2 linked regions of the Anolis sagrei genome follow. The protein of the gene in region 2 purifies or fractionates together with the protein of the main gene of each other region. This does not show direct contact. Links are inferred from orthologs where the notes say so. Each region holds a gene or a part of one and is shown on either strand. Other genes may lie near its edges.

Region 1 (7,853 bases), on a different chromosome or scaffold from region 2:
ACATCAGCCCTCCACATTTGAGGGCTTAATTAATATGGCTTCTGTAGGAAACACAAGGTCCTCCAGTGCAACTGTGGACCGACCAGTTGTTGTTCTGGAGGAACTAGAGATTTCTAAACAGAACATGTCTCTAGAGAGATCTCTGTCCTCCCACACAACTCTATTACCAGTTTCCAGTGGATGTTGACTATATAGAACTAAAAGACAGATGCCTAGAACTGTTCTCTTGGCATTTTATAAAAAGTGTTTTTTTTTTTCATTTTGTGGGGGTCCTATGCTCATAATGCCAGAAAATATGGAGGGTTGATTATATTGCTAAGCTGATACAATGTAGATCGAGTTCAGGTGGTGAGATCTTGGCAGTCTTGTTCTTGAGTCCTTATTTGGAAAGAGGTGGGATCAAAACTAAAATGAAGTAAAGAAAATTGTTGGGATTTCTCTGAATTGAAACTTTTTTGTTTCAACCTGTCAGTATCAGATTTTCACTTTTCCCTTCTTCCAATGTAGGGTTTATGGCTTTTTCTAAAATATGCATTCGCCCCATTGAATAAACCTATTTTGAGTTGCATCCCATAGACTCTTTAAGGTTTGTAGTTTGGAGAGGTATGGCATTAGTTTTCAAACTTTTGGCCCTCCAATTGGTTAAAAAAAATTTCTTTTTGCATATTTGCATGTATATAATGAGGAATCTCAAAGATAGGACCCAACCCTAAACATGAAACTCATTTGTTTTTCATATGTACCTTTATATGCAGTTTAATTTTACACAGTATTTGAAAAATAATTTTGTGCATGAAACAAAGTTTATATGCATAAACTGAAGGCAGTTTCATACACAATATTTTAAAAATAAATTTGTGCATGAAAGGAGGTTTGTGTACACTGAACCAACAGAAAACAGAAATGTCACTACCTCAGCCACACATTTCAGTACCACCAACAGAAAAAAGCACCCATGAGTCTAAGGCACAAGCCATTATTAAAAGATGTTTATGAGGGGAAAACTGCATCATAGAATTGAATAAATGTGTGTGTGTGTGTAAATAGATGTCTGAAACTCCAGGTTTTCTCAAGTTTACCATTTGTAATGCTATTTTCTCTTCTATGTTATGCACAAGTGTGTGTGTGTGTGTGTGCATATTCTTTTTTTAAGTATAGTTTTAGTAAAGATCTTTAATTTTTACATGTATGTGTGTATCTACAAAAACCTGTGCATGTATACACATTGTAGATGCGAGGAATCCCTCCCCTGTAGTCTCAAATAGAAAAGGTTTGTGAATGTACACCTTTTCTACTGGAAACTAAAGCACGCATGAGCAAACTTCGTCCCTCCAGGTGTTTTGAACTACCAAGTCCCACAATTCTTAACAGCCAGTTTGCCCAAGCTAGGAATTCCTCATGTCCACAATTAGTAACAATTAGTAGTAAAACTATTTTCTCTTCTTTTTTAACTATATACATTTGTATGCATATCTATCTATCCATCAATAACTGCATATGTATGTATGTGTGTGTGTGTGTGTGTGAGAGAGAGAGAGAGAGAGAGAGACAGAGAAACTTTATTTTTGAAACCCAAAGCTAGGAATTCATCATGTGTGTGACGAGCAATATTTTCTCTTTGGCTACGTATGCATCTCTTACATATATGTGCGTGCACACAATTGTGGCAGTACTTTCGTTTAGGTTCTCTCTCTCCTATGAGCTATATCTGTATATATGCATGTGGGTAGGCACGCACTCTCTCTCCCTCTACATATATATATATGTACACACATGTGCTCTATTTCTGTGGGTAGGCACGTGCTTTTGCTTTCACTCTCCACATATACATATATTAGCCACCCCCTGCCATGCGTTGCTGTGGCCCAGTCTGTGTATATGTGTTTTGTGTATGTGTATATATGTGTGTTTGCATATGTATATATATGGTTTTGCACATGTATTGTAATGTATTTTTTATTTTTACTTTTTAAGTCTCTTCTGCTGTGTTTTTCAGTGTATTTATGAGTGACGGTCACTTGTTGGCCTGATATGTGTATTGTGTCCAAATTTGGTGTCAATTCGTCCAGTGGCTTTTGAGTTATGTTAATCCCACAAACGAACATTACATTTTTATTTATATAGATCCTAGCCGTCCCCTGCCACACGTTGCTATGGCCCATTCTGTATATATATGCTTTGTGTGTATATATATTTGTGTATATGTGTGTGTGTTTGCGTCTATATATATGTTTTTGCTCATATGCTGTAATGTATTTTTTAATATTTTTTTTTGGCTTTTGAAGTCCCTTCCGTTGTGTTTTTCAGTGTTTTTATGAGTGATGGTCACTCGTTGGCCTGATACGTGTATTGTGTCCAAATTTGGTGTCAATTCGTCCAGTGGTTTTCGAGTTCTGTTAATTCCACAAACGAACATTACATTATTATTTATATGGAAGATAGATGCGTACACACATGTGCGCCATGTATCTCTGCTTGCCTATTCCACAAAGAGGCGCGTTGTCGCAATCCAGGCCTGGCAGCAGGGAGGAGGCGGCCATGCCCACGCGTTTCCCTCCCTCCCTTTCCACGCGAGGGAGCTCCCTCGCTCCCCCCTCCCCAATCCGCCATTGTCGCAAAGGCCTCCCTCGCCTCCTTTCCCTGCCTTGTTGTATTCTGGGGGCGACCTGCTTGCTTTCCGTCTTTCTCTAAGCCTTTCTTTCCCTCTTTGCTTTCCTTCCCTGAGGGCGGCTCAGGAGGTGAGGCACGGCGAGGCCGAGGCCTAGCTCCAAAGGCTCCCTCAGGGACGGATTCCTTTCTTCTGAGGGCGCCTCCTGACCGGGAGCGGGACTCATTTTTCCCCCTCCCTCCACTCTCAGAGCCGGGGGCGATTCCACTCCGCTCCTCCATCTTCCTCCGAGGGGGAGAAAAGGACCGACCTTGATGGCGGGCGGGCAGACGGGCGGGAGGCGAGCCTTGAGCGCGGGGCGGCCTTCGGAGCAAGAGAGCCGGGAGAGGAGGCGGGAGCGCGCGGGCCCCCCTTTTATATCCGCCCGGCCCGGCCTCGCGCCGCTCGCCCCTCGGCTCCTTCCGCCTTAAAGGGGCCGCATCCCTTTGGAGGAGGGGAAAGAGTGCCTCTGTACACTGTGGAATGGAGCACTTTTATAGAGCACGGAACTATGGCAGCTGAAGCGGGGTCGACCAGGCCTGGCCAAACTTGGGCCCTCCAGGTGTTTTGGACTCCAACTCCCACCATTCCTAACTGCCTCAGGCCCCTTCCTTTTCCCCTTCAGCCACTAAACAGATGTTGACCATTTCCACTACCTTGGCAGCCACCTCTCCACCAAAGTCAACATCGACACCGAAATACAACACCGCCTGAGCTCCGCGAGTGCAGCATTTTCCCGAATGAAGCAGAGAGTGTTTGAGGACCGAGACATCCGTAGGGATACCAAGGTGCTTGTCTACAAAGCTATTGTCCTCCCAACCCTGCTATATGCCTGTGAAACATGGACTGTCTACAGACGTCACATGCAACTCCTGGAACGATTCCATTAGCGCTGCCTCCGGAAAATCCTGCAAATCTCCTGGGAAGACAAGCGGACAAACGCCAGCGTGCTGGAAGAAGCAAAGACCACCAGCATTGAAGCGATGGTCCTCCAACAGCAACTCCGCTGGGCCAGCCATGTTGTCCAGATGCCTGACTACCTTCTCCCAAAGCAGTTGCTCGACTCTGAACTTAAGAACGGAAAACGGAATGTTGGTGGACAGGAAAAGAGATTTAAAGATGGCCTCAAAGCCAACCTTAAAATCTCTGGCATAGACACTGAGAACTGGGAAGCCCTGGCCCTTGAGCGCTCCAGCTGGAGGTCAGCTGTGACCAGCAGTGCTGTAGAATTCGAGGAGGCATGAGTGGAGGGCGAAAGAGAGAAACGTGCCAGGAGGAAGGCGCATCAAGCCAACCCCGACTGGGACCGCCTTCCACCTGGAAACCAATGCCCTCACTGTGGGAGAAGATGCGGATCAAGAATAGGGCTCCACAGCCACCTACGAACCCACAAGGAAACGCATAATGGAAGACCATCTTACTCGTCCAACGAGGGATCGCCTAAGAAGAATACTAAACAGATCATAAAGCATTGTCCATAGAAATTCTGAAGACTATTTTGTGCAGAAATGGAAGGTAGCAGTCAGGTACATAATATGGCCTGCACTATATACCAGCCTGAGGAATGCAAGGCTGGGATGAAATTGCTGGAAGAAACATTAACATCCTTAGATATGCAGATGATACCACTTTGATGGCCGAAAGTGAGGGGGTGCAGAGGAGCCTTCTAATCAAGGTGAAAGAAGAAAGCGCAAAAGCTGGGTTGCAGTTAAACATCAAAAAAACCAAGATTGTGGCAACAAGAATGATTGACAACTGGGAAATAGAGGGAGAAAACGTGGAGGCCGTGACAGACTTTGTATTTCTAGGTGCAAAGATTACTGCAGATGCAGACTGCGGCCAGGAAATCAGAAGACGCTTACTTCTTGGGAGGAGAGCAATGTCCAATCTCGATACAATAGTGAAGAGTATAGACATCACACTGGCAACAAAGATCCACATAGTTAAAGCAATGGTATTCCCCATAGTCACCTATGGATGTGAGAGCGGGACCATAGAGAAGGCTAAGTGAAGGAAGAAAATTAACTTGAAATGTTGCAGTCTCGTGTAATATTGAGTGTTGCTTCTGTAAAGGATTGTTCCCTTGTTCCCCGTAGTAACCTATAGATGTGAGGGCTGGACCATAAGGAAGGCTGAGTGAAGGAAGACAGGTGCTTTTGAACTGTGGTGTTGGAGGAAAATTCTGAGAGTGTCTTGGACTGCGAGAAGATCCAACCAGTCCATACTCCAGGAAATAAAGCCCGACTGCTCATTGGAGGGAAGGATATTAGAGGCAAAGATTAAGTATTTTGGCCATATCATGAGAAGACAGGAAAGCTTGGAGAAGACAATGATGCTGGGGAAAATGGAAGGAAAAAGGGCAGACCAAGGGCAAGATGGATGGATGGCATCGTTCCATCCATCTGAGGACAGGGAGTCTGGCGTGGGCTGGCCCATGAGGTTACAAAGTCAGCTGCGACTGAGCGAATAAACAACAATTGAGTGTTGGGGGGGGGGGGGGAAACCAAATGCCACTATTGTGTGTTGTTTTGATGTATTTTAAACAATTTTATTGTTTTTAAAATAGTTCTAAATTTAATTCTATTTTCATGTGTTGTCAAAGGCTTTCATGGCCAAAATCACTGGGTTGCTTTGAGTTCTCTAGACTGTATGGTCATGTTCCAAAAGCATTCTTTCCTGATGTTTCTCCCACATCTATGGCAGGCATCCTCAGAGGTTGTGAGATCTGTTGGAAACTAGGCAAGTGGGGTTTTATATATCTGTGAAATGTCCAGGATGGGAGAAAGAACTCTTGTCCACTTGAGGCAAGTGATTAGCATTGAATGCCCTTGCAGTTTCAAAGGCTGGCTGCTTCCTGCCTGGAGGAATCCTTTGTTTTAATGTTGAAAACTCACAGCAACCCAGAGGTTTATACTCTCAGTCAGGTATTGCTTTTACCTGATTTAATGTTACATTGTATTATAATGCTTTTACCATTGTTCATTACTTTGAGTCTCTTGACTCAAATCAGAAGATAAGCAAATATAGTAATAGTAAATTGGCATTGTCGGTTGTTTACACCATTTACACATTTCCAATACCATACTCTTATTATATTGTCAAAGGCTTTAATGGCCAGAATCACTAGGTTGCTGTGTGTTTTCCAGGCTGTATAGCCATGTTCCAGAAGCATTCTCTCCTGATGTTTCTCTCGCATCTATGGCAGGCACCCTCAGACATTGCGAGGTCTGTTGGAAATTAGGAAAACCATTTTCCTAGTTTCCAACAGACCTCACAACCTCTGCGGATGCAAAGGACGCAAAACAATGGCTTCAAACTGCAAGAAAGAAGATTCCATCTGAACATTAGGAAGAGCTTCCTGTGAGAGCTATTCAGAAGTGGAACTCTCTGCCCTGGAGTGTGATGGGGACTCTTTCTTTGGAGGCTTTTAAACAGGCTGTCTGGCCATCTGTCAGGGGTGCTTTGAATGAGATTTTTCTGCTTCTTGGAAGGGGGTTGGACTGGACGGCCCACGAGGTCCCTTCCGACTCTATGATTCTAAGTAGTTTGTTTTCTGCAGTCTTTGTTTTCTTCTCCAGTTTGACTTTTGGAGAACTGTGCTTGGAGAAAGAGGTGATGGCCCTCTCTGCTGATGCTTTCCTCTGCAATGGTGCTGCTTCTCTTGTGGGGCCCACCAAGACCTTTCCCATTTAAAGGGAAGAGCCATGGGCGGCCCTTCCTGGCGGTGACTCATAACCTCGCCTCTTTTTCGCCCATCTTTTAATAACCACATTATCGTCAATGGAGACCAGGAAATAACGCGAGCGCTAATTATTATTATTCTCTGAAGGCGCAGGGCTTTCAAAAAGGAGAAAAGAAGCAATTCTTTCTTAAACCACAGCATCTTGGCTCGGAAGCTCTGCTTGCTCTTTCCTCAGGAGGGCTGAACATGCTTTCTAGACACGCTCTGACGCAGGCTTGCTCCTATTGTAGGCCTCTGCTCTTCTGCGCATGCGCCTGATCACACAATTATTTCCCCCCTCCTTCCTTGAGAGCTTTCGTTTCTCTCCAGCTCCATCTTACAACGTGCTCTCCGCGCGCATGCGCATTTCCCCTCACGCAAATGGGGCGGAGCGAAGAGCACCTGTTTCTGATTGGAGCGCAACGGCGAGGCGAAGGGGATTCTTTCCTATGATATAGACGGCGGAGGGAGACGGCTGCTTGTGCTGCGACTTCTTTCTAGCATTTTCCAGAGGGCGCTTTGTCCCCCTCCTTCTCTGACGCCTTTCGGGTTCCTCTCGTTCTAGGAGGTCCCTGAGAGGGAGGGGGAGAGAGAGAGAGGGGGGGGGGGAAGGGCACACTCTCTCAGCCTCAGGGGTAGGCCCCGCCAAAGCGCTGCTGGATCAATCTGGCCAGGAAAGCCATCAGAGAAGGCTTCCATAGGCCCAAAACGGCATGAAGGCCCACAGCCAGGCCTCTAAGGGCGGAACGGGGTTTACACCCTGGACATTCATAGAAGAGACCTCATGGGCCATCCAGTCCAACCCACTGCCAAGAAGCAGGAATATTGCATTCAAAGCACCCCTGACAGATGGCCATCCAGCCTCTGTTTAAAAGCTTCCAAGGAAGGAGCCTCCACCACACTCCGGGGCAGAGAGTTCCACTGCTGAACGGCTCTCACAGTCAGGAAGTTCTTCCTCATGTTCAGATGGAATCTCCTTTCTTATAGTTTGAAGCCATTGAAGTAGGTTCCACGTCCTAGTCTCCAGGGAAGCAGAAAACAAGCTTGCTCCCTCCTCCCTGTGACGTCTTCTTACATATTTATACATGGCTATCATATCTCCTCTCATCCTTCTTCAGGCTAAACATGCCCAGCTCCTTTAGCCGCTCCTCATAGGGCTTGTTCTCCAGACCCTTGATAATTTTAGTCGCCCTCCTCTGGACACATTTCAGCTTGTCAATATCTCTCTTGAATTGTGGTGCCCAGAATTGGACACAATATTCCAGATGTGGTCTAACCAAAGCGGAATAGAGGGGTAGCATGACTTCCCTAGATCTAGACACTATGCTCCTATTGATGCAGGCCAAAACCCCATTGGCTTTTTCTGTCGCCACATCACATTGGCTCATGTTTAACGTGCTGTCCACGAGGACTCCAAGATCTTTTTCACACGTACTACACTCGAGCCAGGCGTCCGCCGTTCTGTATGCTTACATTTCGTTTTTC
Region 2 (6,969 bases):
ACCTCGACGCCCCCCCTCATATTTAAGGCAGTTAATGGGATAATTTAGACATACACATACATGCGCTCAGGGAAAGGGGAGGGAGGAAGGGCCAGGAAGGAAAAAAGCATCCGAGGGACTGCGTGTGTGAGAGAGAGAGACTTAACCATAGATGTGGGTGAAATGTCAGGAGGGAATGCTTCTGGAACATCCCTTCCTTAGGTTTTTGGAGAAGGAGGTAAGAGGGAGCAGCAGGATTTCTCTGGGGGATAGAGGAAAAAAAAATTCACAGAATGCTGGCTTCTTAGAAGATGGGAGGGGAGGGAGAAGAGAGAGAGAGAGAGAGAGAAACCCAGCAAACTTTACTTGGCAAAGGGAAACAGGAGCAGGAAAAAGGTCCCCCCCCCCCTACACCTCCCTTTGTTTGCAAGAGGAGAGAGGGAGGAGGGGTTTGAAAGCAAAAAGGGGGAGTTGGAGAGTGAAGGGAAAAACAAAGGAAAGGCAGGGACATTGGTGACTGCCCCTGAAAGATGGGTTTTGTAGTTGCACAGAAGAGAAGGGGAGAGGGAGAGAGCTCTTGGTTCAGGGAAACCAGGCGAGAGAGAGAGACTTTTGCAAGGCAGCTGAGTCACATCAGTGGCAGGGTCTCTCCTGGTGAGGGGAAACACTGTTTATTATAAATAAACAGGCACTGAAGATTCAGCTTTTGAAAGAAAGGGATGTAGTAGCTTGGTGAAGGAGGGAATGAGCGATGCCTCCCTTTTCCATCTGAAGGAAGGAAAAAAGGTGGCACAGGAGGAAGCAGGAGAGGAGGAGAGCAAAGAATTTCCCTGATCATTTCCTCAAGGAGCAGTGAAGAAAAAAAAAACAAACAAACAGAGGGGCATATAAATGCATCATAAATAGGGAATAGGGAAATGGAGGGGTTGGGAAGGGAAGGAAGGAGTCAGGGAGATTGGGTAAAGGGAAATGGGAATGGGATGGTAGGGGAACAAGCAATTTCTTCCAAAGGGAGAGGGTGAAGGGGTCTGGAGGGGGTTTCCTGGGGGGGTTGGGGCTTTGTTACCTTCCCCTTGCATGGTAGGAGTTGGCCACAACTACCCCCCCCCCTTCCACCTCCCTCCGGCACATGGCAAAAAGCATGAGGCAGAGGCGGTTTCGGTCCTCTTGGCCCCCTCACAGCGATCCGACTGCCATGAGGGGCCACGAAACTCCACCTGCTGAGGGCCTGGAGGGCCACCTCTCCATGCGATTTTTACCCTACTGGCCTGCGTCGGCGACGCAACCCTGCCCCATTCCGCCAGTATCTTCCAAAAGATGTTTCTGATGAAGCAGGACGTTTGACCCTGGAATAACATGCGCCCAATCTCTCCTGGTAGCCCCACACTGAAGTGGTTAATCAGGGTAGCCCCCCCAACCGCAAGGCAGGCTAGAGCCCGAACGGTTCCCTAGCAGAAGAGCCCGGGGCGATCAGCCCTTGGCAGCTAGGCAGTCCGAAAGGGGAGGGCTCCCTTTCCAGCGTAGCTCCAGCCAAGTCCGCAAAAGCGAGCTGAGTTGCTATTCCAGGCCTCAAACGTGGATGTTCGCTACCCCCCGCCAGGAATTTGTTACCGAGACCTAGAGAATCCCTCCCCAGTGGGCCGACTCCGAAGCTGGTTCAGAAAACCTAGAATCCCCTCCCACCTGGCAGCCAAGGCAGCCCGCGGTTGATTTCTTACCCGTCCGGACGTTTTCTTCCCCCCTTTCCGCGTCGGTCGTTCCTCTTCCTGGAAGTCCTTAGATCAAGGCTTCCCTGGCGCTCCTTTGTGCTGAAACCCTAGGTCAGAGCTTGGGAGGAAGTGGCTGCGGGAGAATTTGTAGTTTTGGTTAGCTGGTCAAATGAAAGTCCGAATTGGGAGAGGCGCCTCTTTTCCCAAGCCGTTCCTCCTTTGCTGCTGGCCCAAAGAATCAGACCAAGGCGCCTGCTTGAGAATTTAGGCTATAATTTAGTCTGGAACCTCAAGCAGCAGTCCCTTCGTGGTAAAGCCAAATGATATCGAGCTCCTTTTGGGGGGCTTTCCCAGCGAGGAAGGCCCCAGAAGACCGCAAAGGGGGTCTTTGACCTTGGCGAGCGGCCAGCGGATGCCAATTCAAGAAGACGCAAAGTTACTGAAGATCAATCTCGCCAGAGGCTGAAGAGGAGTCTACGACCGAGGCGTTTATTTTGCGATTCAGCTGAAAAGGATGCGTTACAGGGATGAATCCTCCATAAGGCATACAGTACAGTGAATTTCAGGCATATTTATACAGGCAGAACAAAGAAATCCTGGTTTGAATCTCCCGCCCGCCTCCTGTCAGTCCCCTCTGTCCTGGTTGGCCGGCTCCGGAACAGCTGGGAGGAGGCTTGGCCGCTGGTCCCGCCTTCCCTCCAATCGCCGGCCGCTGTCGCCTCCAGAGGGCCAATCAGAGCCCTCGGAGCGCCTCCGGAGATTGTCCAATCAGCGGCCAGGAGGCGGGCTTTCAGTCTGATAGCGCAGAGGGGCGGAACGCCTGGGAGGCGTCTGCCAGCTGATGGAACACCTTTTGTCTCTTCACGGCAGGGAGGCGGATGGGGAGAACAAGGGATTTCCTGGGTCTTGATAAAAGATGTGTATGAGCAAAAAGGGTGGCTATGGATGGTGTCTGGATCTCAACCCTGTAGGCAAAGGAGATCCTTTGACACAAGGGAGCATACACAAACACCATGATTGATTTAATCAGTCGGTTTTTCCGGGCTTTTGGCTGACAAAATCTCTGGCTTTTGTTTGTCTGACTCTGAGAACAAAGCCATAGATTTGCCAGTATTTGTCCATGCATTGTCAATATGGATGGAGTTTCTTCCAAGGAAATTGGATTTCCTTAACTGTAATCCCCAGGTCACATATTCTTTTATAGGGTAAAGTTCAAGAGGGGGAAGGCAAGGAAAGGGGTGAGGGTACATCTCATTTCATTTCATCTCATTACATATCATATACTTCATATATATATTCTTCACAGTCTTTCATAACTCATAGATTTCATAGAAAAGATCCCCATCCCAGTAAAGTTTATTAGAAAACCCACAGCAATTAATAAAGGCAATCAGCAGAGTTCCTGAGGTATGATCCTTTGCAACAAGGGCATGCACCCACGGGCGGGGGCCATGCTTCCCAAGCGGCTTGGCTTTTGAGTCCGTGGAGGAAGTTCATGATGATAGGGCATCAAGTCAATCAGTGAGGGCAGAAAGGTCCGCAAGGAATCCGCAAATGGTGGAGAGTGGGGCAATGTCCTTTGGAGAACTACATTTCCCTGATCAGGGGCCAGGGTCCAGTGCACAAGCCAGAGAATTCACAGAAGGGAAACAGGAACCCAGTTATGTGTGCTGGGTCAGGAAGCAGCAGAATCCATTGTCCGGCCCTTGGCGAACTACAAATACTTGGGGGGGGGGGTAGATGCTCTGCATCAATTCCACCTTAAATGGGTCACTTTGGGAGCCATTGCTGCCCAAGACTGTTGCCATCATGTATCATGGAGGAGCCGCAGGATGTTTACATATTTGTTTGGCAACTGATACAGGGAGAGATCTAATCTAGTCCTGACTAAAATCTATCAGCAAATAGGGAAAGGAAAATAATGGATTGCAGACTGGAAAAACTCAATATAGGCATTCCAATCCAATCCCCAAAAGTGGACACCAGGGATTGCAGTAACCATAATATATTTGCAAGTGAAGTGGAGCTTAAAGTTTTTTGCAAAACTGCATGCATTCCAGGTTGTTGCTAACAGATCTGTGTAAATGGGTGGCGTTCAGAAACCTTTGACTGTTGCCAATTTTTTTCGTGGCCCCAACATTGAGCTGAAAGGGACTCCATTTGAATGTCCAGTTGATTCTTTGTAAATGAGAGCTGAATAATTGTGTTTGGGAATTAAAGGGTTAATCCCTTCCTCTCCCCTAAAAGCGCCCCGCCCCCTTATTGTGACGTCAACGCCCGGCGCCCCGCCCCCTTTCGAACGCTCGCACAAGATGGTGGCTGTCTCTGGGCGAGAGGTAGGAAGTCTCCCTTTCCTTGGCTTTTCCCACATTCCGATGGTCTCGTTCGGCCCCTCCTCCCCTTCCCGGACTGACCCCCCTATTTTCCTGCTCTCTTGGTATCTTCCTGCCCGGCTCCTCAGCCACTTCAATGCGCTTTTCGGGCTTGGGAACCCACACCTTCTTTTTAAAGGGGGGGGGGGGCGTTTAGAGTCGCTTCCAGACGTCATTCCGGACTGGGAATGCGGTCAGACTGGCCCGGATTTCGCCCGCGGCTCTGGTTTAAGTTGCAGGAGGGGAGAGGCGTGGACTTCTCCTCCTCTTCCTCCTCCTCCTTCCCGAATTGAGACCCCTATCCCCAGGCAAAGGCATAGACTGCACCTCCCATCATCCCCAACCTTTGTCTCTCCAGCTGTATTGGGCTTCATCTCCCTGGAAGGTTGCATCTACACTGTAGAATGAATCCAGTGTGACACCGCTTTCACTGCTGAATGCAGTGGGAGTTATAGTTTTATTGCAATATTGGACACTTCTCTGTCAAACTACAACTCCCAGTGTTCTGCATCACCCAGTCCTGATAGTTCCAAGGGAGGCCAAACTGCGTTAAATCTGTAGTGTAGATGCTCAGGGATTGCCGGACTGCAGTTCCCATCAGCCCCAGCCAACTTGTCCTATAGTGAAGGATGATAGGGGGCTGCTTTGGTCACACGTAGAATTAATGCAGTTTGATATCACTTGAACTGCCCAGGCTCAAGGCAATGGCATCCTGGGCATTGTAGTTTTACAAGGTCTCCCTGTTAAAGAGCTCTGGGGCCTTCACAAGCTACAAATCCCAGGATTCCATAGCATGGGGGTGTGGCAGTTAAAGTGGGATCAAACTGCATTAATTTTACACCTGAAGAAGCATCCTTATGTCTTTAGATCAGTCTCTGTTGATCATTCTTAGTCACTCTATAGATACATTTATTTGTGTCTTATTTATTAATTGATGAATGCTATTACCTTATATCAAGATACACTATATAAATAAAATTGTAATCTTCATTCATAGGATTAACATAACTCAAAAACCACTGGATGATTTGACACCAAATTTGGACACAATACACATTTGAGGCCAACAAGTGACCATCACTCATAAAAACATTGAAAAACACAGCCAAAAAACAAAATATACAATACAATGCATGTGCATAACAACATATATATATATACGCAAACACACATCTACACAAATATATATACACATACACACACACACAACACATATACACAGAGTGGGCCACAGCAGTACGTGGCAGGGGGCGGCTAGTAAATAATAAAATGCTTCAATAAATAAATAATAAATAAATATTTACAGTGTACCTTAGATCAAGGAGCCCCCCAGTGGCGCAGTGGGTTAAATCACTGAGCTGTTGAACTTGCAGATTGAAAGGTCGCAGGTTCGAATCCAAGGAGTGGGGTGGGCTCCCACCTGTCAGCTCCAGCTTCTGCCAACTGAGCAGTTCGAAAACATGCAAGTGTGACTAAATCAATAGGTACTGCTCCCGTGAGAAGGTAATGGCGCGCTATACAGTCATGCCGGCCACATGACCTTGGAGGTGTCTAAGGACAACGTCGGCTTTTCAGATTAGAAATAGAGATGAGCACCAACCCCCTGAGACAGACACGACTGGACTTAATGTCAGGGGAAAACCTTTACCTTTGCCTTATATCATGGGATTACAAGGCCGTTTACAATAAAAATGAATAATATTTGAGCAGACTACTGCAATGGGCTCTGTGTGGGGCTGCCCTTGAAGTACACTCAGAAACTGCAGAGTGTAGGAACTTGATTGCTGACTAGAAGGCCATATCGACAGCACGTCATGCCAATCTTAAACAAATAGCACTGGCTGCCAAAATACAAATTTCCAATCTGGATTCAAAGTGGTCGCGATGACTTGTAAAGTCCCAAATAGCTTCTCAGTGTCCCATAAATAAGATTAATATGCAGTGTTCAGATATGGGATGGGGTCTTCTGAGTCGTGGCACCCCAAATGTGGAATGCTCTCCCTGATAGAGGCCAGCACTTATTTCATTTAGGCACCCATAAGTCCTCATTGGCTCCGTCTACACTGTAGAATTCATGCAGTTTGGCACCACTTGAACTGCGTTGGCTCAGTGCTATGGAATGGAGTCCCCGGTGGCGCAATGGGTTAAACCCTTGTGCCGGCAGGACTGAAGACCGACAGGTTGCAGGTTTAAATCCGGGAAGAGCGCAGATGAGCTCCCTCTGTCAGCTCCGGCTTCCCACAAAGGATGACAAAACATCAAAACAATCTGGTGTCCCCTGGGCAATGTCCTTGCAGACGACCAATTCTCTCACACCAGAAGCAACTTGCAGTTTCTCAAGTCGCTCCTGACACAAAAAAAAAAGTGCTGTGGAATCACAGGAGCTGTAATACATTTTTAAATATACTTAATTTATATTCCACCCTAGGGAACTCAGAGCAGATTACAGCATATATAGGCAAACATTCAATGCCTTTACAGTCATATACAGTGAGACACACAAACAGGCAGAGGCTTCTTTCATTTCCGGCTTCTGGAGCCACTGCTTATCTCTGGCACTGAGGAGGTGCTTTCTCTATTTTCAAGACAAGGAAATTTTTTTGAAGCATCTCTTTGACTTTTCCTGCCAATTCTCACATTTGCATGTTTTCGAACTGCTAGGTTAGCAGGAACTGGAGCTGACAGAAGGGAGCTCACCCCGAATTGCGGATTTGAACTGGCAACCTTCAGGTCAGCAGTTCAACAACACAAGGGTTTAACCCAGGGGTCCTCAAACTTTTTAAACAGGGGGCCAGGTCACAGTCCCTCAAACTGTTGGAGGGCCAGATTATAATTTGGAAAAATAAATGAATTCCTATGCACACTGCACATATCTTATTTGTAGTGCAAAAAACACTTTAAAACAATAG

What was found. The genes of interacting proteins can lie anywhere in the genome.
Region 1: the proteins of ARAF (region 2) and HSP90AB1 purify together in Homo sapiens (affinity purification with mass spectrometry; 5 studies listed by BioGRID and IntAct, with this or other methods). This does not show direct contact. The link is inferred for Anolis sagrei from reciprocal best matches to the Homo sapiens genes ARAF and HSP90AB1.

The regions. Positions count from the first base shown.
Region 1 is NC_090021.1:48,271,599-48,279,451, forward strand, and holds the start of HSP90AB1 (heat shock protein HSP 90-beta), read right to left. Parts: upstream 3,022-7,853; 5' UTR 2,919-3,021; intron 1-2,918. UniProt on the Homo sapiens protein: Molecular chaperone that promotes the maturation, structural maintenance and proper regulation of specific target proteins involved for instance in cell cycle control and signal transduction. Undergoes a functional cycle linked to its ATPase activity.
Region 2 is NC_090022.1:192,681,231-192,688,199, forward strand, and holds the start of ARAF (serine/threonine-protein kinase A-Raf), read left to right. Parts: upstream 1-3,960; 5' UTR 3,961-4,024; intron 4,025-6,969. UniProt on the Homo sapiens protein: Involved in the transduction of mitogenic signals from the cell membrane to the nucleus. May also regulate the TOR signaling cascade. Phosphorylates PFKFB2.